Linked DNA regions of Macaca mulatta. The protein of the gene in region 1 binds, or shares a complex with, the protein of each later gene. Links are inferred from orthologs where the notes say so. Each region holds a gene or a part of one and is shown in the gene's direction. Other genes may lie near its edges.

The links.
Region 2: MED13 (region 1) and MED24 share a complex: the UniProt entries of both Homo sapiens proteins name them as parts of the mediator complex. The link is inferred for Macaca mulatta from reciprocal best matches to the Homo sapiens genes MED13 and MED24.
Region 3: the proteins of MED13 (region 1) and CDK8 are in contact, whole or in part, in a cryo-EM structure (PDB 8TQC), measured with the Homo sapiens proteins. The link is inferred for Macaca mulatta from reciprocal best matches to the Homo sapiens genes MED13 and CDK8. Residues at the interface, in NP_005112.2 of Homo sapiens: Thr1616, Met1617, Asp1618, Arg1619, Lys1621, Val1622, Gly1623, Ile1624, Pro1625, Thr1626, Asp1627, Gly1628, Asp1629, Ser1630, Val1732, Lys1733, Thr1734, Leu1735, Thr1736, Gly1737, Phe1738; in NP_001251.1 of Homo sapiens: Leu9, Glu12, Arg13, Arg71, Lys74, His75, Pro76, Leu81, Gln82, Lys83, Val84, Tyr133, Asp137, His140, Tyr141, Met330, Gln331, Phe335, Leu336, Leu340, Pro341, Thr342, Ser343, Asp344.
Region 4: MED13 (region 1) and MED23 share a complex: the UniProt entries of both Homo sapiens proteins name them as parts of the mediator complex. The link is inferred for Macaca mulatta from reciprocal best matches to the Homo sapiens genes MED13 and MED23.
Region 5: the proteins of MED13 (region 1) and CCNC are in contact, whole or in part, in a cryo-EM structure (PDB 8TQC), measured with the Homo sapiens proteins. The link is inferred for Macaca mulatta from reciprocal best matches to the Homo sapiens genes MED13 and CCNC. Residues at the interface, in NP_005112.2 of Homo sapiens: Tyr1342, Ser1630, His1631, Val1732, Lys1733, Thr1734, Thr1736, Phe1738, Gly1739, Pro1740, Gly1741, Ala1743, Arg1897, Met1898, Ile1901, Asp1905; in NP_005181.2 of Homo sapiens: Gln7, Gln13, Trp14, Leu16, Gln19, Lys23, Gln26, Lys27, Arg75, Tyr76, Glu144, Leu145, Asp147, Cys148, Ser221.
Region 6: MED13 (region 1) and MED16 share a complex: the UniProt entries of both Homo sapiens proteins name them as parts of the mediator complex. The link is inferred for Macaca mulatta from reciprocal best matches to the Homo sapiens genes MED13 and MED16.
Region 7: MED13 (region 1) and MED20 share a complex: the UniProt entries of both Homo sapiens proteins name them as parts of the mediator complex. The link is inferred for Macaca mulatta from reciprocal best matches to the Homo sapiens genes MED13 and MED20.

What each region holds. Positions count from the first base shown.
Region 1 is NC_133421.1:49,699,513-49,703,012, reverse strand, and holds part of MED13 (mediator of RNA polymerase II transcription subunit 13), read left to right. Parts: coding exon 1-166; intron 167-1,149; coding exon 1,150-1,341; intron 1,342-1,829; coding exon 1,830-2,053; intron 2,054-3,500. UniProt on the Homo sapiens protein: Component of the Mediator complex, a coactivator involved in the regulated transcription of nearly all RNA polymerase II-dependent genes.
Region 2 is NC_133421.1:64,378,864-64,382,363, reverse strand, and holds part of MED24 (mediator of RNA polymerase II transcription subunit 24), read left to right. Parts: intron 1-875; coding exon 876-913; intron 914-1,179; exon of another isoform or gene 1,180-1,283; intron 1,284-1,359; coding exon 1,360-1,442; intron 1,443-1,779; coding exon 1,780-1,958; intron 1,959-2,067; coding exon 2,068-2,167; intron 2,168-2,472; coding exon 2,473-2,648; intron 2,649-3,500. UniProt on the Homo sapiens protein: Component of the Mediator complex, a coactivator involved in the regulated transcription of nearly all RNA polymerase II-dependent genes.
Region 3 is NC_133422.1:6,371,775-6,376,053, forward strand, and holds the start of CDK8 (cyclin-dependent kinase 8), read left to right. Parts: upstream 1-1,479; 5' UTR 1,480-1,507; coding exon 1,508-1,635; intron 1,636-4,279.
Region 4 is NC_133409.1:36,667,873-36,672,050, reverse strand, and holds the start of MED23 (mediator of RNA polymerase II transcription subunit 23), read left to right. Parts: upstream 1-1,378; 5' UTR 1,379-1,544; coding exon 1,545-1,583; exon of another isoform or gene 1,584-1,800; intron 1,801-1,932; coding exon 1,933-1,964; intron 1,965-2,121; coding exon 2,122-2,209; intron 2,210-4,178. UniProt on the Homo sapiens protein: Required for transcriptional activation subsequent to the assembly of the pre-initiation complex. Component of the Mediator complex, a coactivator involved in the regulated transcription of nearly all RNA polymerase II-dependent genes.
Region 5 is NC_133409.1:86,296,427-86,300,710, forward strand, and holds the start of CCNC (cyclin-C), read left to right. Parts: upstream 1-1,484; 5' UTR 1,485-1,617; coding exon 1,618-1,649; intron 1,650-4,284. UniProt on the Homo sapiens protein: Component of the Mediator complex, a coactivator involved in regulated gene transcription of nearly all RNA polymerase II-dependent genes.
Region 6 is NC_133424.1:1,546,014-1,550,284, reverse strand, and holds the start of MED16 (mediator of RNA polymerase II transcription subunit 16), read left to right. Parts: upstream 1-1,471; 5' UTR 1,472-1,573; intron 1,574-3,149; 5' UTR 3,150-3,167; coding exon 3,168-3,336; intron 3,337-4,059; coding exon 4,060-4,167; intron 4,168-4,271. UniProt on the Homo sapiens protein: Component of the Mediator complex, a coactivator involved in the regulated transcription of nearly all RNA polymerase II-dependent genes.
Region 7 is NC_133409.1:140,252,642-140,256,677, forward strand, and holds the start of MED20 (mediator of RNA polymerase II transcription subunit 20), read left to right. Parts: upstream 1-1,236; 5' UTR 1,237-1,357; coding exon 1,358-1,371; exon of another isoform or gene 1,372-1,994; intron 1,995-4,036. Other genes in the region: BYSL (bystin), read right to left, coding at 548-815. UniProt on the Homo sapiens protein: Component of the Mediator complex, a coactivator involved in the regulated transcription of nearly all RNA polymerase II-dependent genes.

The sequences.
Region 1 (3,500 bases):
CACATATCCACCTGCAATTGTTGTTTATATAATTGATCCTTTTACATACGAAAATACAGACGAGAGCGCTAACTCTTCTAGTGTGTGGACATTGGGGCTACTTCGATGCTTTCTAGAAATGGTCCAGACTCTTCCTCCTCATATCAAGAGTACTGTTTCTGTACAGGTAAGAGTGATAAATGTTGTCAGTTAAAATTATGTAAAACAGTTTGATGTTGTCAGAAGTTTCAGATACTACTTTTCTGTATTCAAATTGATTATCTAAAAGCCAAGTTCTATTATATTGATTTTACTTTAATATCATAATATAAATCTTAGATAATTTATAAGTCATACCACAGTAATAATACAGAATAAAAAACAGTCATACCACAGTAATAATACAGAATTTTTAAAAAGTCCATTAAGTACATTAAATGTTTCTCCTGTGTTACTTTTATAAGCCAATTTTTAAATTCATGAGCCTAAATAGAAAGATATAGCACATACAAGACAGGTTGCAAGAAAAGGAGAAAGCAATTAACCATATTAAGTTGTTAGAAGAAATTTTGAATTTATTTTATAGACTTCAGGACTGGTCAATGGCATTATTAATATAATTATTACATAGAAAATTTATAGTTTTTTGTTGTTGTTGTTGTTTTGAGATGGAGTCTCGTTCTGTCGCCAGACTGGAGTGCAGTGGCACAATCTTGGCTCACTGCAACCTCTGCCTCCCGGGTTCAAGCAATTCTCCTGCCTCAGCCTCCTGAGTAGCTGGGACTACAGGCATGTGCCACCACGCCCAGCTAATTTTTGTATTTTTAGTAGAGATGGGGTTTCACCATGTTGGCCAGGATGGTCTCTATCTCTTGACCTCGTGATCCGCCCACCTTGGCCTCCCAAAGTGCTGGGATTACAAGTGTGAGCCACTACGCCTGGCCAGAAAATTATACAGGTTTTAAATAGTCCTTTAGTTCAGAACCCATTGGTAAAATTGGCTACTTATTCAAAGCCTACATAATAGATAAGAAAACAATTCTTAAATTTTCATTTAAATTAGGTTTTGTTTAAATTTTCTAGTAAAAAGTTTTTAGAGTTTTAGACCCACAATTCCTGTTATTCTCTTTTGAAAGTTTAACATTTGTAATATTTGCCTACACTTCTTAGATAATTCCTTGTCAGTACCTGTTGCAACCTGTGAAGCATGAAGATAGAGAGATCTATCCCCAGCATTTAAAATCCCTGGCTTTTTCGGCCTTTACCCAGTGTCGGAGGCCACTTCCAACATCAACCAATGTGAAAACATTGACTGGCTTTGGTCCAGGTTTAGCCATGGAAACTGCCCTTAGAAGTCCTGATGTAAGTATGTTTTTCATGACCAAAGTTGTTGAATGACTATACATACTTTTTTTTTTTTTGAGATGGAGGCTTACTTTGTCACCCAGGCTGGAGTGCAGTGGGGAAGTCTCGGCTCATCACAACTTCCGCCTCCTGGGTTCAAGCAATTCTCCTGCCTCAGCCTCCCGAGTAGCTGGGATTACAGGCATGCGCCATCTGGCCCAGCTAATTTTGTGTGTGTGGGGGGGGTTTGTCATGTTGGCCAGGCTGGTCTCGAACTCCTGACCTCAGGTGATTGCCCACCTCTGCCTCCTTAAGTGCTGGGATTACAGGCACGAGCCACTGCGCCCTGCCAACACTTTTTTGATATTATGCAAAACTAAGCGCAATTTTTGGCTTAGCTCTCATTTTCCAGTTATCTTATAATTGGGTAGATGATAATTACATTTTAAATGCATATTTATCTAAGATTGTATAGTATGATAATACCTTAATTTTTTATTTTATAGAGACCAGAGTGTATTCGACTTTATGCACCTCCTTTTATTCTGGCTCCAGTGAAGGACAAACAGACAGAGCTAGGAGAAACATTTGGAGAAGCTGGACAGAAATACAATGTTCTTTTTGTGGGATACTGTTTATCACATGATCAAAGGTGGATTCTTGCATCTTGCACAGATCTCTATGGAGAACTTTTAGAAACTTGTATCATTAACATCGATGTTCCAAATAGGTATTTGTATTTCCCTAAATATATCATATCATTCCATTTTTCATGTGTGTGAGTGTGTATGTGTGTGTGTATATATGTGTGTGTGTGTATATATATTGTTTCATTTTTAATGAATAGAAAACCAGCTTGAAGGTTTTGTATATATTAAAATATTAAGATGTGGGATTGTGGGTGCTTTTTACTTTTTCTGTAGTGAATGTTTATATTGTATAAGATAATTAAAAATAATTATGATTAATCTATTACATGAACAAAAAACATTAAGATCACTAACTTCTGTGTCATAAAGCTTGCAATTATTTTAGCTGAACATTTGTGAAAGATGTAGTTAGAAAACACTTCTGCAATTAAAAAATGGTCTAGTAAGTATAGAACATTTAAACTTTTCTCATATACCATCTAAGATATAGCCCCTAATTAACTAAGTTAACTTCATTTACTAAAATTGGCGATTTAAAATTTTATCATTATGGCCGGGCGCGGTGGCTCAAGCCTGTAATCCCAGCACTTTGGGAGGCCGAGACGGGCGGATCACGAGGTCGGGAGATCGAGACCATCCTGGCTAACACGGTGAAACCCGGTCTCTACTAAAAAAATACAAAAAACTAGCCGGGCGAGGTGGCGGGCGCCTGTAGTCCCAGCTACTCGGGAGGCTGAGGCAGGAGAATGGCGTGAACCCGGGAGGCGGAGCTTGCAGTGAGCTGAGATCCGGCCACTGCACTCCAGCCTGGGCGACAGAGCGAGACTCCGTCTCAAAAAAATAAATAAATAAATAAAATTTTATCATTTAATGTTAGGATGTAGCCGGGTGTGGTGGTGGGTGCCTATAATCCCAGCTACTCAGGAAGCTGAGGCAGGAGAATCACTTGAATCTGGGAGGCAGAGGTAGCAGTCAGCTGAGATCACGCCATTGCATTCCAGCCTGGGCGACAAAATGAGACTGTCTCAAAAAAAAAAAAAAAGTTAGGATGTCTTCAGAATATGATGGCCATTTTAGGATTCTTGGCAGTAAATACCATGTCCAATTATTTGCGAAGGATATAACTAATAGGTCCCAACAGGTGAGCCTCATTTTGAGTTATCAAAGCTAGTGAACGCTGAACAGGAGAACCTGAAAAGCAAATCTGTGAAATGATTTTTAGTTTTAAGATTTGGGTTCTGGCCAGGCATGGTGGCTTATGTTTGTAATCCCAGCACTTTGGGAGGCTGAGGCAAGGCAGATCACTTGAGTCCAGGAGTTCAAGACCAGCCTGGGCAACATGGCGAAACCCCATCTGTACAGAAATACAAATATTAGCTGGGCATAGTGGCACACCTGTAGTCCCAGCTACTTGGGAGACTGAGGCAGAAGGATCACTTGAGCCCAGGAAGTTGAGGCTGCAGAGTGAGCTGAGATTGCGCCACAGTACTTCAACCTGGGTGACAGAGTGAGATCCTGTCTCAAAAA
Region 2 (3,500 bases), about 15 Mb from region 1:
GTTGCCTTTGGTTGTCCTGGAATTTGACATATATAGAACATGGTTCCATTCAGTGAGCCATTCTCTAGGCCTTGGAAATCTTCTAACAATAAAAATCCTGGCCGGGCGCGGTGGCTCAAGCCTGTAATCCCAGCACTTTGGGAGGCCGAGACGGGCGGATCATGAGGTCAGGAGATCGAGACCATCCTGGCTAGCACGGTGAAACCCCATCTCTACTAAAAAATACAAAAAACTAGCCGGGCGAGCTGGCGGGCGCCTGTAGTCCCAGCTACTCGGGAGGCTGAGGCAGGAGAATGGCATAAACCTGGGAGGCGGAGCTTGCAGTGAGCTGAGATCCGGCCACTGCACTCCAGCCTGGGCGACAGAGCGAGACTCCGTCTCAAAAAAAAAAAAAAAAAAAAAAAAAAAATCCTTCTGGCCAGGTGCGGTGGCTCACGCCTGTAATCCCAGCACTAAGGGAGGCCAAGGTGGGTGGATCACCCGAGGTCAGGAGTTGAAGACCAGCCTGGCCAACTTGGTGAAACCCTGTCTCTACTAAAAATATAAAAAATTAGCCAGGTTTGGTGGTGGGCATCTGTAATCCCAGCTACTTGGGAGACTGAGGCAGAAGAATTGCTTGAACGGAGGCAGAGGTTGCAGTGAGCTGACATTGTGCCACTGTACTCCAGCCTGGGTAACAGAGCGAGGCTCTATCTCAAAAAAAAAAAAAAAAAAAAAAAAGAAATCCTTCTTTTTCCTGTACCAATGTGTCTCATTTTAAGTTTAACCAGTAACTCAGACTCTAGCGACCGCTCTCTGAGCATGTGTAGTCCCCAGCGCCCAGCTACTGCTCAGCTCATGCCCTGGTTAATGCAACCTGTCTCCATTCCTTTCAGTTTGAATGAATTCACAACCTATGGCAGCGAAGAAAGCAGTAAGTCAGCCCTGTACATCTGCAGGCCCAGTGGGCCCTGAGGAGGGGTGTGGTGGGAGAGTGTGGGAGGGAGGAGGGCTCCCGGGCTCAACAGGGGGAGGCTGTGCTCCCTCGTCAGAGCCATGACCAACGGAAGCTTCCACAGAGCTTGAAAGTGGGTAATGCTGGAACAGTATTCTTCCCAGACCATCCATCCCTATGTCTCCTTCCCCCCTCACTCCTTTATGACTTGGTTGGGTATGCCAGGAGAGGGTGCTGGGGGTCTTTGGTTTCAAGGAAGGGATGATGTTCCAGTTGAGACTCAAGAAAAGGATTCTGAGCCTCAGAGCTTTGAAGGAGCCACTTGGTCCCTGACCTTCCTAGAGGCAAATCCCGATCCCTGTCGACCCAGACACCGACCGCCCCCTGCCCTCGTCTGGGAGCTCAGCCTTCCTGTCCTTCCACAGCCAAACCGGCCTCCGTCCGGGCCCTGCTGTTTGACATCTCCTTCCTCATGCTGTGCCATGTGGCCCAGACCTATGGTTCAGAGGTGAGAGAGAGGGGAGCAACGGGGACGGGGGCTCAGGGGAAGAAGGTAACCCGAAACTCTCCCCACCTCACCGCCTGCACCCCCACAGCCTCTCAGCCAGTTAGTTCTGTGGGCCTCAGAAACCAGGTGCCCACGCGGACGGCCCCTTCAGCCCCATGTTCACACTGACCACTAGGTGGCAGCATTGCCCCCGTCTGGCTCCCTTAGAACAGTTCGTCCCTAGTCTTCGGGCTGGGCTGGAGCAGCAGCCTGGCGGGAAACGGTGCAGTCCCAGGTCCAGCGCTGGCAGGCGCCGCGCCCTCCCCACTCGGCTGGTGCCCCCCTTCCCCTTTCCCAGGTGATTCTGTCTGAGTCGCGCACAGGAGCTGACGTGCCGTTCTTCGAGACCTGGATGCAGACCTGCATGCCTGAGGAGGGCAAGATCCTGAACCCTGACCACCCCTGCTTCCGCCCCGACTCCACCAAAGTGGAGTCCCTGGTGGCCCTGCTCAACAACTCCTCGGAGATGAAGCTGGTGTCAGTGGCCCGGGCGCCCACTCCAAGGGTGGCGGTGGGGGCAGGGTCAAGACCCTCTCCCCGAGCCCGTCCCCTGCTCCTCTGTGCTGACTTCTCTGCACTCCCGCAGGCAGATGAAGTGGCACGAGGCCTGTCTCAGCATCTCAGCCGCCATCTTGGAAATCCTCAATGCCTGGGAGAATGGGGTCCTGGCCTTCGAGTCCATCCAGGTAGCCCCCCCTTCCCAGCAGCCTTCGCTCCCCTGAGACGCAGAGCCAGCCAGTGATGACTTGTTATATTTCGTAAGGGCAAGAAGACCTTTAATCCAGGAGCTCATGTTTTGATATCGATCTTTTGTGTAATTGTAGTCTTAGCCACTCCCTCTGGCCCAGGTAGCTCTGGGAAGATCAAACTTGTGGGGAGTGTGGCCCGGGACTCCACCCGCTGCACTGAGCTGCCCACAGAGGCTGAGAAGGTGATGGTGGTTCAGGAAAGGGAGATAGATGGTAGCCCATCACCTTTCCCTCTCCCCTAGAAAATCACTGATAACATCAAAGGGAAGGTATGCAGTCTGGCGGTGTGTGCTGTGGCTTGGCTTGTGGCCCACGTCCGGATGCTGGGGCTGGATGAGCGTGAGAAGTCGCTGCAGATGATCCGCCAGCTGGCAGGGCCGCTGTTTAGTGAGAACACCCTGCAGTTCTACAATGAGAGGTCAGTAAGCCACCTTCCCTTCTCAGACCCTACAAGTGTGTTGTGAGAAGTCAGCACATCCAATAACAAGCACCCTTCTCTTTTCTGACCTTCGCAGACACGCTGCTCGATCATTCGCTCACTCACTTTCCCATTCATGCATTCACTCACCTGACTCGGCAAACATGTACTGTGTCTCTGTGGCAGAAGCGTTTATATGCCAGCACCTGCTGTGTATCAGAAATGCAGACCCAAACAGGGTCTGCCCGCAGAGACTCAAGTTCTAGACAGCTAGCTCCCAAAAGAAGAAAACTGTATGACTGTCTAGGAGCTAGGAAACTGTCTGTAGGTTTTACAGGCCATCCCCCACCCTCAGTTCTCTCTTAGGACAGTTTCCTGCCCTGGCTCTTCGAGGGCTTGGAGGACTTCCGTGGTGGCCAGCTACATTGAGTTCATTCACCCAACCAATAAGTTGTTTGCTTTTTTTATTGTAAAACACACATAAGATTTGCCATCTTAGCCATGTTGTTTAAGTGTGCTGTTCAGTAGTGTTAAGTATATTCACACTGTTGTGTAACAGGTCTTCAGAACTTTCTTCTTACATCTCTGAAACTCTGTACCCGCTGAACAACAACTTCCCATTTTCCCCTCCCTCCAGCTCCCAGTCACTACCATTTTGCTTTCTGTGTCTAGGAATTTGACTACTTGACACTTTTTTTTTTTTTTTTTTTAGACAAGGTCTTATTCTTGCCCAGCCCAGAGTGAGTCTACTGCAACCTCAAACTCCTGGGCTCAAGTGATCCTCTCGCCTCAGCCTCCCAAGTAGCTGGGACTGCAGGCCCACAGCCAGCTAATTTTTCTATTTTTTGTAGA
Region 3 (4,279 bases), on another chromosome or scaffold:
CCCTTTGGGAAGTGGGGAGCTTTAGTGGAAATGGTAACAATTGGAAACCAAAAATTAAAAACAGACAAATAAGAGGGATAAGATAAAATGATAGATTAGTATCAATCTTGAAGCAGGACTCCTGAAGCAGGACATACTGCTACCGCAAAATTATTAACAAACTAGTTCCCATGGATTTAGATCCTTTCTGTAATCATAGCTAGAAACTGGTGTTCTTATGGGGAGCATCGCAGAAGGCTGTACTGTACTCAATACTTCCTATAAATGGACAGGAAAGGTTGGATGGTCATCTGTCACAAGAGTAACAATGTTTAGAAGTAGCTTGGACAGTAGTCATTGATTCACTTTTACTGGAGCTTGTAATGTCAGTATGTTGACATCATTGTGCAGCCCTTATCAGATTGTGAACACCAAGAGTACCCCAACTGCTGGCCCGCGAGCTGTTTACAAATATATCCGCTTTTATAGATGACAGTGGCCTTTAACATCTGGAGTTCAGAGTGGCACAAAATGTGTTTCTAAAGCTACTCTCCTTCCCACGTGCATCTCTTTGGTCAAGTTTATGGCTGGAATCAGACTCTAGTTAGATCGCTATAAAAATAAAAATAAAAATAAAAATAAATTTTCCCCAAGTGATTGAAACGAATTTCACCCTAGACTACGAGTCCCAACATGCAACGCTCCCATATTCCCACCATGTGGGGCGGAGTCGTAGAAGAGGCGGCAGCGGCGGCGGCCTATGCATTCTGGGTATTGTAGTCTCGGAACCGGCCACCGCTGGGGCTGGTCCCACGTGTTGCGTTTTGCGGCAGCTTTGGGCAGCGGCTCCCCTGCTCCCTCCACACGGTCCTCAGGGTGCCAGCGCCAGCAGGGGCGGCCAGCCACCGCGGGAGCGGGTTGGAGGGTGGTTCGGAGGCAGCCCGAGGCTTCGCGACGTTTTTGCGACAGCCGCGGCCGTGTTCCGCGAGTGCCCTCCCTCCTCCTCTCTTTGAGGAGGTACCGGCTGTTGTGCGGCGCTGCCTTTCTGTTTGAGTGTATGGGAGAGTGAGTGAGTGAGTGAGTGAGTGTGAGCGTGTGTGTGAGCGCGTGAGGCGTGAGTGCGCGTGTGAGAGGACGAGAGCCCGCCTGGCCGCCCCGCCGCTCCCGCCGCAGCAGGAGCAGAACGCGCGACCGGAGAGAGCGGCGGAGCCGGCGCCCAGGGAGCCCGCGGGGACAAGGGCAGAGACACCGCTCCCCACCCCCAGCCCTCGTCCCTCGGCTCTGCTTCGCCGGGGGATCCTCCCCGTTCCTCCACCCCCGGCCGGCCTCTGCCCCGCTGCCCCCCTGGATGTCCCCGGCGCTTTCGCGGGGCCTCCTCCTGCTCTTGCCGCATCAGTCGGGCTGGTGCTGCGGCCGGCGGGCGTAGAGCGGGCGGGTTCCCGGGGGCTGCGGCTGCCCGTGCTTCCCCGGTCCCCACCCCTGCCCCCCGGCCCCCCGACCCAGCTCTCCGGCCTCGGAGGCTGTGACAATGGACTATGACTTTAAAGTGAAGCTGAGCAGCGAGCGGGAGCGGGTCGAGGACCTGTTTGAATACGAGGGCTGCAAAGTTGGCCGAGGCACTTATGGTCACGTCTACAAAGCCAAGAGGAAAGATGGGTGAGTGTGTGCGTCTGGGCCGGTGTCCGCGCTGGGCGGCGCTCCCGCAGGCCGAGGCAGGTAGCCCGGAGGGAGAGCGGGCCGCCGGGGTGCCGGGCTCTGACTTCCTCGACGCCGGCCTCTGGCTCCGCCAGCAAGGTTTGGGGAGGAAGTGGTGTACAAGGGATCCAAAGCCACAAGAAATCCTGCGTGCCGCATCTGTGTTGTGCTTCGGTGCTAAGAGGGAAGAGGAGCCTCTGCACCGTGGGCTATATACTTTTCAAGGATTTCAAAGCTGATTTATGAAAAAATGCGTTCTAAAACGCCGGGTGAAATGTTTCTGTTTGTTTTTTTTTCCTTGGTCGATTTATTATGGTAACCTTCTGGGGATTTCCTCACCCGCCTCGGGAGTGTCATCCATCGGTCTAGAAGGAAGGCTGTGATCCTTTCCCCCCCCAGTTTGTGATCGATTTTTTATCAAATTTGTATTTTATTTGAGGGAAGGAAGGCAGCGAGTGAATGTGGTTCTGGAGAGAGTTCCCCATACGGATCATCTGCACCATACATGTTGCAGTTGCTATTTAGATATTATTAGCTGTGAATTTTTACATAGAACAATGGGGGTTTGGTGCAGGGTGGGTGGTGGGGAAGAAGACAAGTGACATAGGGACTATCTCGTTGAGGCTGTTTCCCCCAAATTTAGCGGCTGGCAGTGAACTTTAAATAATCCCTTTGCTTTAAATATTCTTCCCTAGTAACAACTTAATTAAACCTATGAGTGGTAATGCTTCCAATTTAGTTTCTTAACAGGCAAGTGAATTGTTCGTTTTTTTCTCTTTGTCAGTAGATGAATGTCTTGTAATATTGACAAAAGAGAAGGCAGTTCTTAGTGGGGGGGAATAATATATATTTTATTAACTCCATGTTTTCTTGTAAAATGGATGTTGTCTCTGTTGCCTTTGACAGAATAGAAAATTATTGAAAAGTCAAAGCTTATTATATAATCTTTGGATTTTATTAGAAACGAAGTAGCTTTACTGGAACATTCCAGTTTAGTTACCTGCTATATGATGTTTAATCACTTAAAATTTCAGATTAGGAGAGTATGTTCAGACTACATTAGCACGAAAAAAAATTCATAAAGCTGAAGTTCCCTAGTGTGGGGGAGGGGGGCGCATATTTATAAATACTTTAGTATTCTGGATGTTGGAAAGGAAAGTGTGTATTTATTCAACATTTTTCTTAGATTTACTGAAATATCTTTCTAAAAGTGTTTACAATGGACTCTACGAGGAAGATAAGAGTTCTCATTAATTTGGAATATGTATTTTAGTGCTTTTATGCCACAATAAAGTGGAACAGATCGGCAGAAGGTAGGGATTTGGATTTGAAAACTTGATACTCTGGGCGCCGCACGTATTTAAAAGTACTTTTTAGCACTGGAGAAATCAGCGTCTGGAGATACTGCTGACTCTGTTGATGTCTAATTAGACTTATTGTTGAAGTTTTACTCTGTAATGACATATATTTTAAAAATTATGTTTGATAACTTACCATACAATATTTCTCAAAAGCTTTAAACCATCTCTCCTTCCCCCAGTATTATGTAATTTTGGGCATATTCATAAAATCCCCAATCCCATGAGATTAGACATTACAGTGCATTTGACCACACTGTCATGTTATATAAAATTCTAGCGCCTTTGCATTATTTTTAATCTGTGTGAGAGAAGCCGCTTCTGTTTTCAAAAACTATGAACTTAAGCTAATAAAATATGCATATTTGTTTTAACGTTGTACTTTTATTAGAAAACTAATACTGTGTATTGGCAGGAGGTACTTAAGCAAATATTTTATATCTCCATGGTCCGGTTTTAATTTAGGTTGTTAAGAATAATTTGAAAGAATAATTTCAATATCTTTGAATTTAAAGATAGTTGAAGGTATAATGTATGGACATTCTTAGTCATCCGTGACAGCTGAAAAGTAACATTGCATTTTGGAAAAAAGAGCTTATTATTTGTAATCCTTGGCGTTTGTTTTCCATCAGTCTTTAATGATTCTCTTTATGTGATGAACTTCTGTTTTTAATGGATCAAATGTCAAGAGAGTTTTAAAATTACTATCTTTTAGAGATAGTTTTGGAGAGTTTTAAAATTACAGGGATTTTTCAGTTTGACTTCTTTTTTGTAACCTCACTCTGGTAAAATATCGCATACTATTTATGAGGTTCTTTTGATCTTATGTCAGTGAAATGTAATTTAATGCATTTTAGTCCTGGTAAAATAAAATTTGTGGCTGTTTAATCTTTTATAATAAGATGATGATCAAATAATTTGTTTCTAGTATTGATTTACTTTCAAATTACATTATATATTCTGCAGCTGAGATTTGTTCTCTAGGAACTCAGACGGTAACACCTTCAAGGAGAACCTGAGAATTTCTATAAAAGGAAATAACACAAATAAGCTTGGTTTAGACATATTTGACTATTGAAATGAATGTATGTAAACGTTGTATCCTTTCAGTTGCCCCAGTGAGCATAGAACATGAACAATTGGTAAAATAATTTAGACCAGAGGAGTTAGCTGCTTAAATTATTAAGTTTTAGGAAATAAAATAGCTTGAAAGATTCATTTTTTGACTTACTTGAGGCATGATTGCA
Region 4 (4,178 bases), on another chromosome or scaffold:
CAGACTCAAATTACCCCCCAGTTTATAGTATGCTATTCACAGCAGTCTAAGCAAACTCACGTAGGTATCTTTCTAAATCCCTTTTTGTAGAAAAATTTGTATTTCCTCCTTTTCCCCCTGGCACGTTATTAGCACCACTAGTATTGCACATATTACACTATATTACGGTTTAAAATGTCTACTTCTTCAACTGAACTAAAGCTCTTTAGAGTAGCTATATGGGCCCTAACCTGACTGGTGTCCTACTAGGAAGAGAAAATTAGGACACAGCCATGTACAAAGGAAAGACCACGTGAAGACACAAGGAGAAGAAGGTCATCTACAAGCCAAGGACAGAGGGCTCTATAGAAAGTAACCCTACCAACCTCAACCTCAGACTTCTAGCCTCCAGAATTACAAGAAAAGAAATTTCTGTTGTTTAAGCCACCCAGTCTGTGGCATTTTGTTATGGCAACCCTAGCAAACAATATACGAAGCCTAACTCTTCAAGTTTTTCTCCAGCAGGGAATCTGAATTATTTCTTTTAAGCTTTTAGTAGCTATTGTGTGGGCAACGATGGTTGCATGTGCATGTTAAAGTTGTTAGAAAACTAAATTTATGCCAGGTCAGAGACTTGTATAACAAAACCACTAATGGGGACTCATCAGCTCATCACTTAGCAGCTACAAAGGAGTAGTTCATGCTTAGCAGTTTGTGGCATTTCACAAAGAAGTGAAAGGCCCTTTGCATGTCTATGACTCTCATCAACAATTTTCTTTTTGAGGTAAAGAAAGCTGATCATCGAAAAGGCATAACAGATGTTTTAGGGGTTGGTGATGACGGTGGCATATGAAGAAAAACACGTATTCTCAACAATATTGCCAATAGAATCCAGCAATACATTTAAAAGGATAATATATTATGACCAAGTAGCATTTATACCATAGAAGCAAAATTGGTTTGGCATTCAAAAGTCAGTCAATCACATTTGCACTGAGGTTATCATAGCTGACAAGCACCGTCTCTGTGGCTTCAGCTCCTGGCTGCAGGCCGCTGATGGAGGTCCAGAAGGTCAGCTGCTCACAGACATCAGCTGCGGCTCCAGCATTTTCCGCAGGCTGCAGCCTCTGGGTTTCAAGCTTTTCATTTCCCAGTCTGCAAACGGGTTAGTCCCGAGCAGGAAGCAACTCCTTCTCCAGCCGGGAGGTGGCGGCCTGCGGTCGATCACGCCTCCGGGGTCCTTGGGCTCAAGGTTCCGTTTGGGGGCGCTCTCGTCCGGCTTGCGGGCTGACCTTCTCCACAGACGGAACCGTCTGGCGGCGCCGCTGGTTTCTGCGGGGTTTGCAAACAGAGAGTACCGGGCCCTTCCGGTCTTCCGTACAGGTTCCTCCAGTTGGCTGGGCTGCGGAGGGAAGGCTCCCCGGTAAAGCACTGGGGGAGGGAAGCGACGTCGGAGAGCTACGGTTTCCTCCGGCGGTCTCCGACCCTCGCCCCATATATTCCCAGAGCTCGGGTCTGACCCGGGCCTTACCGGGCACCCCGGAAAGGCGGGGGTAATAGTACAGATGGAGACGCAACTGCAGAGCATTTTCGAAGAGGTGGTGGTGAGTGCAGCTGCCGGCCATCCAGGACTACGGCTCGGGGACGGGTAGACGCGGGGGCAGCAGACCAAGGAAGCTGGCCCGGGCAACTTCGTCTCACGCTTCCCTTTTTATTCTCTTGTTTTGACATCGAGGTTGTGTGCGGGGAGGTTTAGTGATTCTCAAACTGCTGTCAAGTTCATTGTATCCTTTGAAATCGATACAGTGACAGGCCCGACAGGTATTGATAGTTTCAGAGCTGATTAAGGTGACTTGTCCTGTGTTACATTGTAATACTTGGCTAAGGGAGGCGCCTTTTAAAAATTAACATTGTTTACATTTTGTTTTTTGTTTTTTTTTTTTTTTTTTACAGAAAACGGAAGTTATAGAAGAGGCTTTTCCTGGGTGAGTGTATGCGTGGCGGATTTTTGTGTTTTCATGTGATTGTATCTGTCAGATTTTACTTAGTTTCGTGTTGGAAGGTTCTAAGATCCACTATTCTGATTGTGTGTAATTACCTTTTTAAAACGAATGACAAATAATGTAATTTTTATTTTTTTAGCATGTTTATGGATACTCCTGAAGATGAGAAAACAAAACTAATTAGCTGTTTGGGTGCCTTCAGACAGTTTTGGGGTGGTCTTTCTCAGGTGAGCACTTCATTTTTAATACATTCAGCTGATGATTTTTGCCCCCTTCTTTTTTTTTTTCCCTTTAACATTTACTTTGATGTTGCTCTTAAGATCTTCCTGAGAAGGAAGAAATAAAATTGTCATCATTTTTTATTCTGGCTTACGTTTGTTTTAATTTGTATATTTCGGTAGAAAACCTATGTTGAGAAGTCAAGTTGATACTGCACAGTGTGCAACGCTGAAAAAAAGAAAAAAACTCCCCTATGTTAGATTAATTAAGATCATTTTCATCCTATTCGGATTTTTTTGGTACACTTGAAAACAGATGTGTTAAGCTTTACTTGTCAAAGATACACATTCCATTTGTTTTACTTAATAAAGGAATTGGCACAGCATTGATACAAAGATGCTACAATAGGAATACCAAGATTCTATAATAACGATAGGAAGATATTATAGTAAAAATGAGGAAACAAACTGTAAAAGTAACAAAGAACAGCTACCAGAAAATGTATCCGTGAAAAAGACAAAATGTGTCATCCTTGAAGAGCTCACATTCCAGTAGTGCCTTACCTTCTCATGGTGTATTATGGGTAGGGAAATGAGAACTGTGTGTCAGCCACTGGTGATAAGATTTGCCACTTCAGACATGGATCATATAATGCTAATACAGTCATGTTTTAACCTTTTGTTTAATTATTTTCTAATAGGTAATACATTCATATGGTTCAAAATGCACAGGTATAAAAAGGGTGGATCCAATAACTAGTCTCTTTCTCTTCTCTTACCTGTTCTTTTTTCTGTCTCTAGCCAATATCCTCAAGTTATGTTTTCTTCTAGAAGTATTTTATGCGTATAGAAACACTTTTATAGCATGATCATATACCATGTACACTGTTAATTAATTAGCACTTTTTTCTCCTAATAATAATCTAAAGGTAATTCCCTATCAGTCCAAGAGTTACTTGTTCCTTCCTTTCTTGTTATTTATTTATTTATTTTTTAATTAATTAATTAATTAATTATTATTATACTTTAAGTTCTAGGGTACATGTGCACAACGTGCAGGTTTGTTACATATGTATACTTGTGCCATGTTGGTGTGCTGCACCCATCAACTCGTCATTTACATCAAGTATAACTCCCAATGCAATCTCTCCCCCCTCCCCCCTCCCCATGATAGGCCCCGGTGTGTGATGTCCCCCTTCCCGAGTCCAAGTGATCTCATTGTTCAGTTCCCACCTATGAGTGAGAACATGCAGTGTTTGGTTTTCTGTTCTTGTGATAGTTTGCTGAGAATGATGGTTTCCGGCTGCATCCATGTCCCTACAAGGGACACAAACTCATCCTTTTTTTGGCTGCATAGTATTCCATGGTATATATGTGCCACATTTTCTTAATCCAGTCTGTCACTGATGGACATTTGGCTTGATTCCAAGTCTTTGCTATTGTGAATAGTGCTGCAATAAACATACGTGTGCATGTGTCTTTATAGCAGCATGATTTATAATCCTTTGGGTATATACCCAGTAATGGGATGGCTGGGTCGTATGGTACATCTAGTTCTAGATCCTTGAGGAATCGCCATACTGTTTTCCATCATGGTTGAACTAGTTTACAATCCCACCAACAGTGTAAAAGTGTTCCTATTTCTCCACATCCTCTCCAGCACCTGTTGTTTTCTGACTTTTTAATGATCGCCATTCTAACTGGTGTGAGATGGTATCTCATTGTGGTTTTGATTTGCATTTCTCTGATGGCCAGTGATGATGAGCATTTTTTCATGTGTCTGTTGTCTGTATGAATGTCTTCTTTTGAGAAATGTCTGTTCATATCCTTTGCCCACTTTTCGATGGGGTTGTTTGTTTTTTTCTTGTAAATTTGTTTGAGTTCTTTGTAGGTTCTGGATATTAGCCCTTTGTCAGATGAGTTGATTGCAAAAATGTTCTCCCATTCTGTAGGTTGCCTGTTCACTCTGATGGTAGTT
Region 5 (4,284 bases), on another chromosome or scaffold:
TTTTACAAAACCGGTGATTTCGCTGCTCTGTAAGTTTGCACTTTTCTATCACTCCAAAAGAACTCCATTAAGATCGCGGCCTGGCGCGGTTGCCCACGCCTGTAATCCCAGCACTTTGGGAGGCAGAGGTGGGCGGATGACGAGGTCAGGAGATCCAGACCATCCTGACCAACATGGTGAAACCCCGCCTCTACTAAAAATACAAAAATTAGCTGGGCGTGGTGGTGCGCGACTGTAGTCCCAGCTACTTGGGAGGCTGAGGCAGGAGAATCTCTTGAACCTGGGAGGCAGAGGTTGCAGTAAGCCTAGATAGCGCCACCGCACTCCAGCCTGGGTGACAGAGCAAGAGTCTGTCTCAAAAAAAAAAAAAAAGAAAAGAAAAAAGAAAAAAAAAGAAAGAAAAAAAAAAAAGAAAGAAATCGCTTGATCCAGGCCGGGCCTGGTAGCTCACACGCCTGTTAATTCCAGCATTTTGGGAGGCTGAGACGAATGGATCACCTGAGGTCAGGAGTTCCAGACCAGCCTGGCGAAATCCCCTCTCCACTAAAAATACAAAGATTAGATGGACGTGGTGGCACGCGCCTGTAATCCCCGTAATCCCAGCTACCGGGGAGGCTGAGGCAGCAGAATCACTTGAACTCGAAAGGTAGAGGTTGCTGTGAGCCAAGATTGTGCCACTGCACTCCATCCTGGGTGACAGACCCAGACTCTGTCTCAAAAGTAAAAAATAGGCCGTGCGCGGTAGCTCACGCCTGTAATCCCAGCACTTTGGGAGGTCGAGGCGGGCGGATCACGAGGTCAGGAGTTTGAGACTATCCTGGCCAACATGGTGAAACCCTATCTCTACTAAAAATACAAAAATTAGCCGGGCGTGGTGGTGCGTGCCTGTAGTCCCAGCTACTCGGGAAGGAGGCTGAGGCAGGAGAATCGCTCGAACTCCTGGAGGCGGAGCTTGCAGTGAGCCGGGATCGCGCCACTGCACTCCAGCCTGGACGACAGAGCAAGGTAAAAAAAACAAAAAACAAAAACAACAACAAAAAAAACTTGATCCGTGAGAACAAAGTCATCTTCATTTATTTCTCTTTCCAATCACAGGTAAAATAAGTCACAAAATCTTTTATTTTATTACAATGCCATTGTTCTGTTTTTGAAGTCCTGGAAGAGGTAATAACAGAACCCCGGAACTCAGCCACTTCGCCCAGGTTAGACCCCTACTCAGCAACTCCAGTGCTGAGGACAGGAGACCGAGCGCCGTGGGCCCCCGGCCAGAACAGGCAAGACGCTCTCGCGAGAGTCTTCCAACCGCCGTGAGCTCTCGTGAGCACTAGTTCTCTTCTATCTCAGCGCCCCCACAGGTCAGCACCTCCCCGCCGGCTCCCTCCGCTACCGCGGGCCGGAACTTTTGTCGATAGGAACGGGTTTGCACAGTTGAGTGTTGTCGGCCGGCGTGAAGGAGACTAGGGGGCCATCCTCTTCCTTTCGCCGTCGCCGCCGCGGAGCGGAGTCGAGCCGAGCTGATTTGATCGAGGAGCGCGGTTACCGGACGGGCTGGGTCTATGGTCGCTCCGCGGGCCGCTCCGCCGGCTGGTGCTTTTTTATCAGGGCAAGCTGTGTTCCATGGCAGGGAACTTTTGGCAGAGCTCCCACTAGTAAGTGATCTTACGTCTTCTCACCTGGGGCCGGTTTTTGGGGGGCTGTGAGGAAGGGGCCTGCGACTCCCTTGGGCCTGGATCCCGGCTCAGTTCCGAGTGCCGGGGTCCTCAAGGGAGACGGCAGCGGCCAGAAGCAAGATGCTCTTTTCTGAGGCGACTCCCCTCCCCGCCCCCAGCCCGTTTCGGGGAGGGAAGGATCTGTGAGGGGGAGGGGTGGGAGAGAGTTTAGTCTCCCAGGAAGAAACGTTTCAGAGTTTAATTTCGGATTTTTAGTTTAACTAGGCCGCAGGGGGTCGGATAGAGTGGGCACAGGTACGGGAAGTGTGACTCAGCTCAAGACTGTGAGGCTACCTGTTCAGGACAGTTGTGGCGTGCTTTTGCTTGGGATTTCTTCGGGTGATTGGCGTCGTGGTCTTTTGTCATTCACTGTATATCTTGAGTGGATTTAATATTCTGAGGAGAGGAGAAAGTCTGGCTTGTTTCTGCCTACTAACCTCTTCTTGCCAGTACTTTATGTCTAGATGGAGTTTTATATTGATAAGGTATAGGGCAGGTGCCCTGTAAACTTATCCATTTCATTAGCCTGTGCCTTATATTTTGTTTTAAAGGCGTATTTTTCCAGTGATTTTGTTTCTCTATTTCTTTAACCTTTTTCATGAATAAGTTCTTGTTTCTGTCAGTGACTATGTGAGAGCTAGAATAATATTAAAAACATTTATCTCTAAATACATTTGTTTAAGCAGGCAGGAAGGTGCGTGATGGGGTTAATTGAACATTGAGTAGGCTTTCCACTGTATAGTTGAAAGATGAACAGAACTTGACAAAGAAGGTATCTTAGTATAATTTTTTATGCTAAGAAAGCATTAGTAAGTAATTTAAATTTCGATTCTGTGAATAGGATCTGTTCCTGATGTTCATTTTTTAGCCCTTTGCAAGGAGAAAAAAGAAACAATGAACTCGGTAACCTATTTAAGGAAAAGCAGGTTTTCCTCTTGCTATAAAGTGATTCTGTGGAGATGACATGTTAAAGAGGCAGGCAACTGATCATATGTGTATGTGTGTGTATATATATGTGTGTGTGTGTATTATATATATGTTGCATTGTTTTCACACACTGAAATATTGCTTGGGCAGAATTAAAGTATCGAAAGTTTAGGTATTGGAGTTAGAGCTCCTGAAAAAAAAATTTAGGTAGTGGAGAAGAGAGATTCTGATAAACTTTGAAAGAAGCCGAGAGAATTGACAAGTAGCTGACTGGTGATTTGTCAGTTTTTCAACTTAAAAAAAAGCTCCTACCTTTTTTCAATGGTGTTCTCATTATGCTTTCATTTATTCATAGCGTTATAAAAACATTTTTTCACTTTTCAAATATAAAATTATTACAAAGTTAAGTGTACTTCTTTGAAACTATTCTCCCAATTCAAATACTCCTAAAAGAAGGGATCACTTTGCCTTGCTCAGATCCCTTGAGCAGTCATAGAGTTTCTTATCTGGAAAAGGTAACAAGTATGGAAGACAAGACAATTCTGGAAAAACAAACAAAAGATTTTGAAAGGCCATTGTTTTAGCTGAATTTGGTGAAAGAGGGCAATTGACATTAAATATGCTATATTTCATGCTTCTAAGATGCATATTTTCACACTTTAACATCTTTGAAATGAGCATGGCAGTTTCTTTCATAGCATATGAAATAATGATGAATCCAAGATGTAATCTTAAATTTGATGAAATGCAGTATTTATAAATTTTTTTAGTTTATCCTGCATACACAGCTCTGAGGAAAATTCATAAAATGTTTGTGAAATTTATGAAATTTATCTTTTTAAAAACATAAAATGACTCTGTGGGGATGAAATTAATTAGCAAACCACAATGTAGTTGAAGTAGAACAAAACACAGTCTGTGACCAAAATGAACTAGAAGGGGACTAAGTATTTGCTGGGTTGATTGAATGCATTAATGAAGGAGTAACAAAAATAGAAACTACAAAACTAACTGTGGATACTTTATTGTGTGAAAAAGGAAACTGAAAATACAGTTACTTAATATCTATAAAATAACATCATAATATTACCATATATGGAATGTAACCAAAGCTTGAATGTATTAGAAAATCAATATCCTGAATAATTGAGAGATAATAGAAATATTCTATTTAATAATACTAAGAAGGAAACATGAAATAAGCCTAAAGAAACAGGAAGAAGATCTTAAAATAGATAACGCTGATGCTAATATATTAAAAGGAAAAAAATTATAAAAGATCATTCTTAGAGTAAACAAAAACAGTAGACGAAACTACTGCTAGTTAAATCAGGGGAGAAAGGAATGATACAAAAATACAAAATTAGGAATGAGAAAAGTAAACCCAAGGGTACTTTTGGGTTATCTCCAGGGTTTTAAATTTGAAAGCCAAAGCAAGTTAAGAGTATTACCCAAGAACTATGCCTTATTTCATGGGTAAATACATCTTTCAAGAGAATCTCCTTTTGAAATTGTTCCATTTCATACAGAAAGAAGAAAAGCTTTCCTTTACAAAGCCATGATAACACTTACAGAAAAATCTAGTAAAGGGAACACTAAAAACAGTCTCACTTTTGAATACTGATGCAAACATTGTAAATGAATTATT
Region 6 (4,271 bases), on another chromosome or scaffold:
TTGAGCCTGGAAGGCAGAGGTTGCAGTGAGCCAAGATCGCGCTACTGCACTCCAGCCTGGGCCACAGAGCGAAATCCTGTCTCAAAAAAAATAAAAATAAAAACGGAAGAGCACAACATCCATTGCATTAAACTGGCTTTTGGAGGAGGAGGTGGGAATGGGGTTGGAAGTAGGAATACTCAACGGGGTCCGTGACTTCGCTTACAGGAGCCTCAGTTTCCCCACTCTCGGACATTAGAAAATGGAAGAGGGGGAGGGATTGCATTGGGAGTTATACTTGATGTAAATGACGAGTTGATGGGTGCTGACGAGTTGATGGGTGCAGCACGCCAACATGGCACAAGTATACATATGTAACAAACCTGCACGTTATGCACATGTACCCCAGAACTTAAAGTACAATAAAAATAAATAAATTAATTAAAAAAAAAAAAAGAGGCCGGGCGCGGTGGCTCAAGCCTGTAATCCCAGCACTTTGGGAGGCCGAGGCGGGTGGATCACGAGGTCAGGAGATCGAGACTATCCTGGCTAACATGGTGAAACCCCGTCTCTACTAAAAATACAAAAAAAAACTAGCGGGGCGAGGTGGCGGGCGCCTATAGTCTCAGCTACTTGGGAGGCTGAGGCGGGAGAATGGCGTGAACCCGGGAGGTGGAGCTTGCAGTGAGCCGAGATCACGCCACTGCACTCCAGCCTGGGAGACACAGCGAGACTCCGTCTCAAAAAAAAAAAAAAAAAAAAAGAAAGAAAGAAAGAAAATGGAAGAAAGCCTGGGCAAGGGGGCTCACGCTTGTAATCCCAGCTCTCTGGGAGGCCGAGACGGGCGGATCAGGAGGTCAGGAGATCGACACCACCCTGGCCAACGTGGTGAAACCCCGTCTATACCAAAAATACAAAAATTAGCCGGGCGTGGTGGCGGGAGCCTGTAGTCCCAGTTACCCGGGAGGCTGAGGCAGGAGGATTGCTTGAACCCAGGAGGCGGAGGTTACAACGAGCCAAGATCGCGCCATTGCATTCCAGCCTGGGCAACAGAGCGAGACTCCGTTTTGGGGGGAAGAAATAAAGGACAAAAATATGGAACGCTTCACGAATTTGCGTGTCATCCTTGCGCAGGGGCCATGCTAATCTTCTCTGTATCGTTCCAATTTTAGTATATGTGCTGCCGAAGCGAGCACGACACATTGGTTCTACCACCAGCTATTTATAGTCCCCGGAGGACATTTCTTTACACATACGACGACTTGTCTCCACTGCTCTAGAGATTCAACCTCTATTTGTATTAGTCCAATGTGTCACGCAACTAACGCAGTTATTAACTGGAGTTGAGAAAGTGCTCGTTATTCTACCAAATATAGCTACAGTGGCTGCTGGGAATTACTGGAAATGCTCGTATGCAAATATACCCGGAAGCGGGGCGGAGCCTGAGCCGCACCGCCCTCCCAGAAGTCTTTGGGAGGCGGCGGCGCGACTCAGGCGACTGGTTGGTGCCGGGGAAGATGGCCGCGCCGCAGCCGAGGCGCTAGGGAAGTTCGCATAGCGGACGCCCGCTGGGCTTGGTGCACGGGCCGGCCAGGTGAGTGCGGGGCTGCGGGGGCCCGGCGAGGGCGGACGGACCCCTTACCGTGTCACTGGACCCCAGGGAACGCGGCGCGGGCGTGGCGGGCCCTGCGGGGTCAGGGGGCGTGGCCGGGAGCAAAGGCTGCTGGGTAGGCGGCCCGGGGCTCCGGGTTTGCGGCGGAAACTCGCGGGAGGCCTGAGGCCCGCGGGGCGGGGGTCGGGGCGGGGCCTAAGGAGAGTTTGGGGCGGGGTTGAAGGCGCTTGGTTGGATTGTTGGGGGGGGGCCTGGAGAGGGAATAGTGTCCCTGGGGTGGAGCCTGGGGACTGGGGGTCTGTAGAGGCAGGGCCTGGAGACTGGGGGTTATCGGTACGGGGCCTGGAGAGGGAATAGGGTCCCTGGGGTGGAGACTGGGGACTGCGGATTTATAGGGGTCTGGAGAGGGTATAGGGTCTCTGGAGATCGGGGGTTATAGGGGCGGTTCCTGGAGAGGCTGAGGCGTCCCTGGGATGAAGCCTGGTAGTTGGGGTTATAGGGGCAGGACCTGGAGAGGTTCTGGGGTCCCTAGGGTGGAACCCGGAGATTTGGGGTTATGGGGGCGGGGCCGGGAGAGGCTACGGGTCCCTAGGATGAAGCCTGGTGTTTGGAGGCGGTAGGGGAAGGGCCTGGAGAGTACATGGGGTCCCCGGAGTGGAGTCTGGGGACTGGGGAGTCTTAGGGGTGAGGCCTGGAGAGCTGGGGGCATTGGAGGCTGGACCTGAACAGTACATGGGACCCCTACGGTGAAGCCAGAGAATTTCGGGTGAGGCCGTAGGCTCAAGGGGTGAATTGAAGTGTGGGAAGCAAAGAGTATCAGCGGCGGGGCTGAAAGACTTTTAGGGGCTTGCGGCGGATCCTTGGGGGTCTGGGGCAGACCCTGAAGAAGTAGGGGGCTGGAGTTAGGGCCTGAGGAAAATGGGGCTGGTGGTCATTCCAGTCTCACTGGGCTTTTGCCTCTGAAGCAAAACAGCCTGTCCAGATGTCAGGTGCTTAGAAAACCCCGAGGAAATGCTCCCTCTGTTCCCTGTCACACTCAGCCCCCGCCTCGGCCACAGGCATTCCCTGTCACACTCAGCAAGCCCCTTAGCCCCAGCACGCCTGCCCCGCCGTGGCCACAGGGAACCACCCTACTGCTTGCCTGTCTGTGGGTTCTTCCTTCGGGAGAGACCCAGGGTCCGCCTGCCGCCCCCATCATCACTCACCTGGGCCAGTGCAGACCCTCCGCCGCATCTGTCAGCTGTGCCCTTGGCCCCCATGGTCCCTTCCCCAGACAGCCAGAGGGGTCCTGGTGAAACCCAAATAGGTCCCAGCCCTCCCGGGCTCCCACCTTGCTGACGGTAGAAGCCCACCAGCCCAGGACTGGCCCTGACCTCTCCACGTTCCCCCTCGGCCCCAGCCCCATGGACAGCCGGGAACGCCCAGGCTCTGTCTCGCCTCTGGGCCTTTGCATTGGCCGTTCCCTCCACTGCAGGCCTCCATCGTTTACCCACTTCCGGCCTGGCATGCCCTGGGTGCTCAGCCAACATAGCTGACCCGCCACACCTCCCTCCCGCAGGAGCTGGTGACTGCCCTCATGTGTGACTTGCGGCGGCCAGCGGCAGGTGGGATGATGGACTTGGCCTACGTCTGTGAGTGGGAGAAATGGTCCAAGAGCACCCACTGCCCATCGGTGCCCCTGGCCTGCGCCTGGTCTTGCCGAAATCTCATCGCCTTCACCATGGACCTGCGCAGCGACGACCAGGGTGTGTCCCCCCCGCCACCCGCTTCCCCTCCCGGCCTCACGGTGTCCTGCCCTGTTCCCCAGGTGCCCGGCACGCTGCCATGCGGGGACTCGGTCTCTCAGGCCTCCCCTCACTCTTCCCCAGCCCTCCTCTGTAACTTGGGTGAGAGCCTCAGCCTTCTGGGGGTACAGAGGGTGGATTCAGTGCTCCCCAAACCTGGGGCCGGGAGACATGAGATCGCCCCGTGTGTGGGATCGAGTGGGGCTGGGGCGGTGGTTGACGGAGGCTTGTTGGAGACACGTGCCCCAGTTTTCCAGACAGCATGTGTCACTGTTTGGTTTTTGAAAGGTACGTGGTGGCTATGCCCATCTTCTCTCCATTGTTCGAGTAATAGGCACTCATAATAGGTGGTCATTAGAGAAAATTAGAAAACCACAGAAAATTGGAATCAAATCAGGGCGATAAAAGGCCCCCATTACCTGCTGTGGAGAGGCTCCCACTGTTCATGTTTTGGGGTCATTTTCTTCTAATCTGGTTTTAAAGACGCGGTCATGGCGCCTCACGGGCCTGCTCAGTTCCTGCGGGGGGACAGCCCGTTCCCTGAGCTGTCGACCCGACTGACAGCAGCTCTGTGACCTCCCTGGGGTGGGACACGCACTGGCTTCCCTGGAGCCTGCCCGGGGTCATCGTCCTCGCCTCCAGGCCATGGCGCCAGGCCGTGATGACCATGTCCCGTCCCCACAGATCTGACCCGTATGATCCACATCCTGGACACGGAGCACCCCTGGGACCTGCACTCCATCCCCTCAGACCACCGCGAGGCCATCACCTGCCTGGAGTGGGATCAGTCAGGTGAGGCCCCGGTCCCACGTGGCTGGGGGCGGCGACCCGGATCCCGGAGCAGGGGGCCCGTGTTCCCCAGTCAGTCTGGAGTCCGGCGCTGGGTCTGGAGCCCC
Region 7 (4,036 bases), on another chromosome or scaffold:
ATGTGTTTTCTGCTCATAACACTTCCCATTCGTTTTTCAGTTCTCAACTTAAAAGGTCCTGCTGCAATCGGAGAAGCTTCTCAAGACCAATGCTATTGTTACCAGGGAAGCGACACTTTATCATAGAAAAATATTATTCTAAGAGTCTACTTAATTGACTCTCTACTGGGCTTGACTGTAAGGTCCTTAAGTCAGACGTGCCTATGTTGTTTACTTCTGTACCCAAACATTCGATAGAACTCCGAGCATAGTACAAAGCTCGTAGTGGGTATCCCATATATATTTACAAAACCAATGGATAAATGCTAGGGTGGAGCGAGCGATTACTGTTGGCCTAACTTAGGGGATGTGTAGAAGGGAGTGCCTAAAACTAGGAGTGGACGCGGAGGGCTCTGAACAGGGTTCAGTTTCCCATTCCATTACTTTTGCAAGTGTAATACGGACCCTTTGTTGACTCGAAGCAATTCCCCTGCCAGACACTTTTTAGCTGTCCACCCCGCCCCACTACTGGCCACTGTCTTCCTCGGATCTCATCCCAGACACTCACCCAGCCGCGTGGTGCGTTCCCGCGACGCCGCGGGCTTGTCCCCAGTCCCATGCTCGGCCTCGAGCTCCTCCTGTTGCTGCCGTGCTTGCTGCAAAATCCGCCGGCTCAGCCGGGGTCCCACATACTCTTCCTCCGTTTCTCCGGTCCTGCGACCCCGCCGCTTCTCCCGGACCCCTGCCCGCACCGCATTCCCAGCCAGGATCTGATCGGCCAGGGGCGCATGTTTTTCCTGACCCCCGACCCCACGGGCCGCCTTCAACTTGGGCATTTTTCTCGAAAACGTTGCCGCGGAGGTTCGCACGTGGGGACGGCGAAAAAGCCAGATTGCGCTTGCGCGGTGGACTCCCGGCTCTCAAGAGGCCACGCGGCGATCACAGCGCCCCCTAGCATTCGGAGGCCAGAAGCACCATCAGCGCCGCCCCTCCCACTAAAAGAGCTCCCGGGTTCCGGAGCTGGACTCCCCAATATATTCACAGCCTTTAACGTTAGCTTCTCTCAACAGTGCAGTCTTTGAGTGTCGCTCTTAGCTTCATGGGTCTAGGCCTAGAGTGCTCAGCCAAACGAGAATGTCTGGATTTAGAAACCTGTGGGCGGGAATCCGCAGATGATGTCACTGGAGGTGTCACCGAGTGGCCCTGAGACCCGCCCCACTCCTTGGGGAAGGCGTGGACCCGGCGCTCTGTTTTTACGTATTTCCGGAGTCTCTTCCGAGACCGAAGGTTGTGTTGGGGAACTGAAGCAGTTTCTGTGGGCGGATAGGGAACCCTGCGTTTCTACCGTGTGATCCGGCCGCCTTCCTGGCCCGACGCCATGGGAGTGACTTGGTAGGACTGCAGGGGGTTTTGTGGGGCGGAGCTTGGAGTTGTGAAGGGCCGAAAAGAGGACCTTGACCGTGGTCCGCCGTCCCCTGGGAGCTGTCCTCGGGTTGTGTGGATGAGAGGATGCCGTGCGAGCCGCGGGTTCCCCGGCCTTGTTTCCTCGGAGATGCGCCCCTTCCTCTTGGAAGGCGGGAAAGCAAAGCGAAGTTTTTTTTTTTTTTTTTTTTTCTTTAAGACGGAGTCTCGCTCTGTCGCCAGGCTGGAGTGCAGTGGTGCGATCTTGGCTCACTGCACCCTCCGCCTCTTGGGTTCAAGCGATTCTCCTGCCTCAGCCTTCCGAGTAGCTGGGACTACAGGCGCCCACCACCACGCCCGGCTATTTTTTGTATTTTTAGTAGAAATGGGATTTCACCATATTGGCCAGGCTGGTGTCGACAAAGCAAAGTTTTTTTTTGTTTTTTTTTTTGTTTGTTTGTTTGTTTTTGAGACGGAGTCTCGCTCTGTCACCCAGGCTGGAGTGCAGTGGCCGGATCTCAGCTCACTGCAAGCTCCGCCTCCCGGGTTCACGCCATTCTCTTGCCTCAGCCTCCCGAGTAGCTGGGACTACAGGCGCCTGCCACCTCGCCCGGGTAAGTTTTTTGTATTTTTAGTAGAGACGGGGTTTCACTGTGTTAGCCAGGATGGTCTCGATCTCCTGACCTCGTGATCCGCCCGTCTCGGCCTCCCAAAGTGCTGGGATTACAGGCTTGAGCCACCGCGCCCGGCCGACAAAGCAAAGTTTTTATCCCAGGAACCTATCAATGGTTGTGTACCTCATTCCCTTCTAGATTCATTTTCCTTCCCGTGAGGCCATAGTACTGCCCGCAATGGGACGTCAGGGTTGGAAATAGGGTCTTTGGACTGTGACCCACCTGCAGACAGGGTTAGAGGGAGTGGGTTATAAGCAATCAGGAAACAGTATTTTTAAAGATTTTCTTTATTTTTCTTTATTTCTTTTTCTTTCTTTTTTTTTTTTTGAGACGGAGTTTCGCTCTTGTTGCCCAGACTGGAGTGCAATGGCGCGATCTCGGCTCACAGCAACCTCCGCCTCGCGGGTTCAAGCCATTCTCCTTCCTCAGACTCCGGAGTAGCTGGGATTACAGGCATGCGCCACCACGCCCGGCTAATTTTGTATTTTTGGTAGAGACGGGGTTTCTCCATGTTGGTCAGGCTGGTCTCGAACTCCAGACCTCAGGTGATCCGCCTGCCTCGGCCTCCCAAAGTGCTGGGATTACAGACGTGAGCCACCGCGACCGGCCAAGATTTTTGCCTACCCTTCCCTCAGCCATCAAATGCAGTTAGACCAGCTTGTGTCTGTTTCTAATTTGCCCATTTTAAGATCTTGGGTCCAGAGGGAAAAAGAGGCTATTGAAAATAAGGAGATCAGGGTTCCAGGCACTTTATCTCTTTAGGACCCGTTTCCCACTATGTTTAATTCCATGGTTAGTCTAGTTTCAGAGGAGTTTTTATCTTTCATAGGTTTTAAGTCTCCGTTGGAAGAAGATGAGGTAGCAGGGAAAGGTATGGGTCCAGTGCTTGTGGAGGCGTTAGTTGTAAGGTGCCAGGTCCCAGAACATTTTTTTCTTATCTCAGTAGATGTGAGCATTTTTCCCCGTGGGAGAAACCCAGAGGCCAGGATATCTGAAGCCAGTGGCTATAGGCTTCTCATACAAAAGCATGTGTAGGGGAAATACTTTTCCTCCTGGTAGCCCAGGTTCTTGCAGGTTTCTCAGTGATTGCACTCTTGTTTCCCACAGTTCACATCATGATCCTCCTGTGTTCCTTAATGGAAGCAAGATATGTGAGGGATGGAAATAGAAAGGATGCAGCGTAGAACCCTGGAACCCCATGCTCTTTCTTTTTTTTTTAAAGAAATAGAAATGGGTTCTTGCTGTTTTGTACATCCAGGTCTTGAATTCCTGAACTCAAGCGAGCCTCCTGCTTTGGTGTCCCAAAGTATTGGCATTACAGACACGAGCCACCGTGCCCAGCCACCCCTGCTTTTTAAATGGAGAAGGCAGCTCCAGGGCAAGGGCTCTCTGTTGGCACCCTTATCAACGTTTTCAGAATCCTAGGACTTCTGTCCCTTGTAGCGTCAGTTTAGGGATTCTTTTATATTTCAAAATAAGGCACATTAGCAACATTGTTTATCAGTGCTTTTTCTGATAGAGTAATGACAATTTTTAGCAACAGAAGGACTCTACCCTAATAGATTCATTTAGTTGATCATAAAGCAATGTCATCTATGACTGTTTTCTTGATTTCTATATAGCTAAGTACTGCCTGTACTATTGTTTATTAATTTTTTAAATTGATCTTTTCCTTAAAAATGTTTTAACAGGCACTACATCCCTATACAGGCAGTCTAGTTAGTGGTTAGGAGCATGGACATGAAACCAGGTTGCTGGGCTTTGAGTCTTGGGTGTACCACGCATTAACTGTGTGACCTAGTGCAAGTTATTTAACCTCTTTGTACTGTACTTAAATTTCCTCTTTTTTTTTTCTTTTTGAGATGGAGTTTCGCTCTTGTTGTCCAGACTGGAAGGCAGTGGTGCGATCTTGGCTCACTGCAACCTCCGCCTCCTGGTTTCAAGCAATTCTCCTGCCTCAGCCTCCCATGTAGCTGGGATTA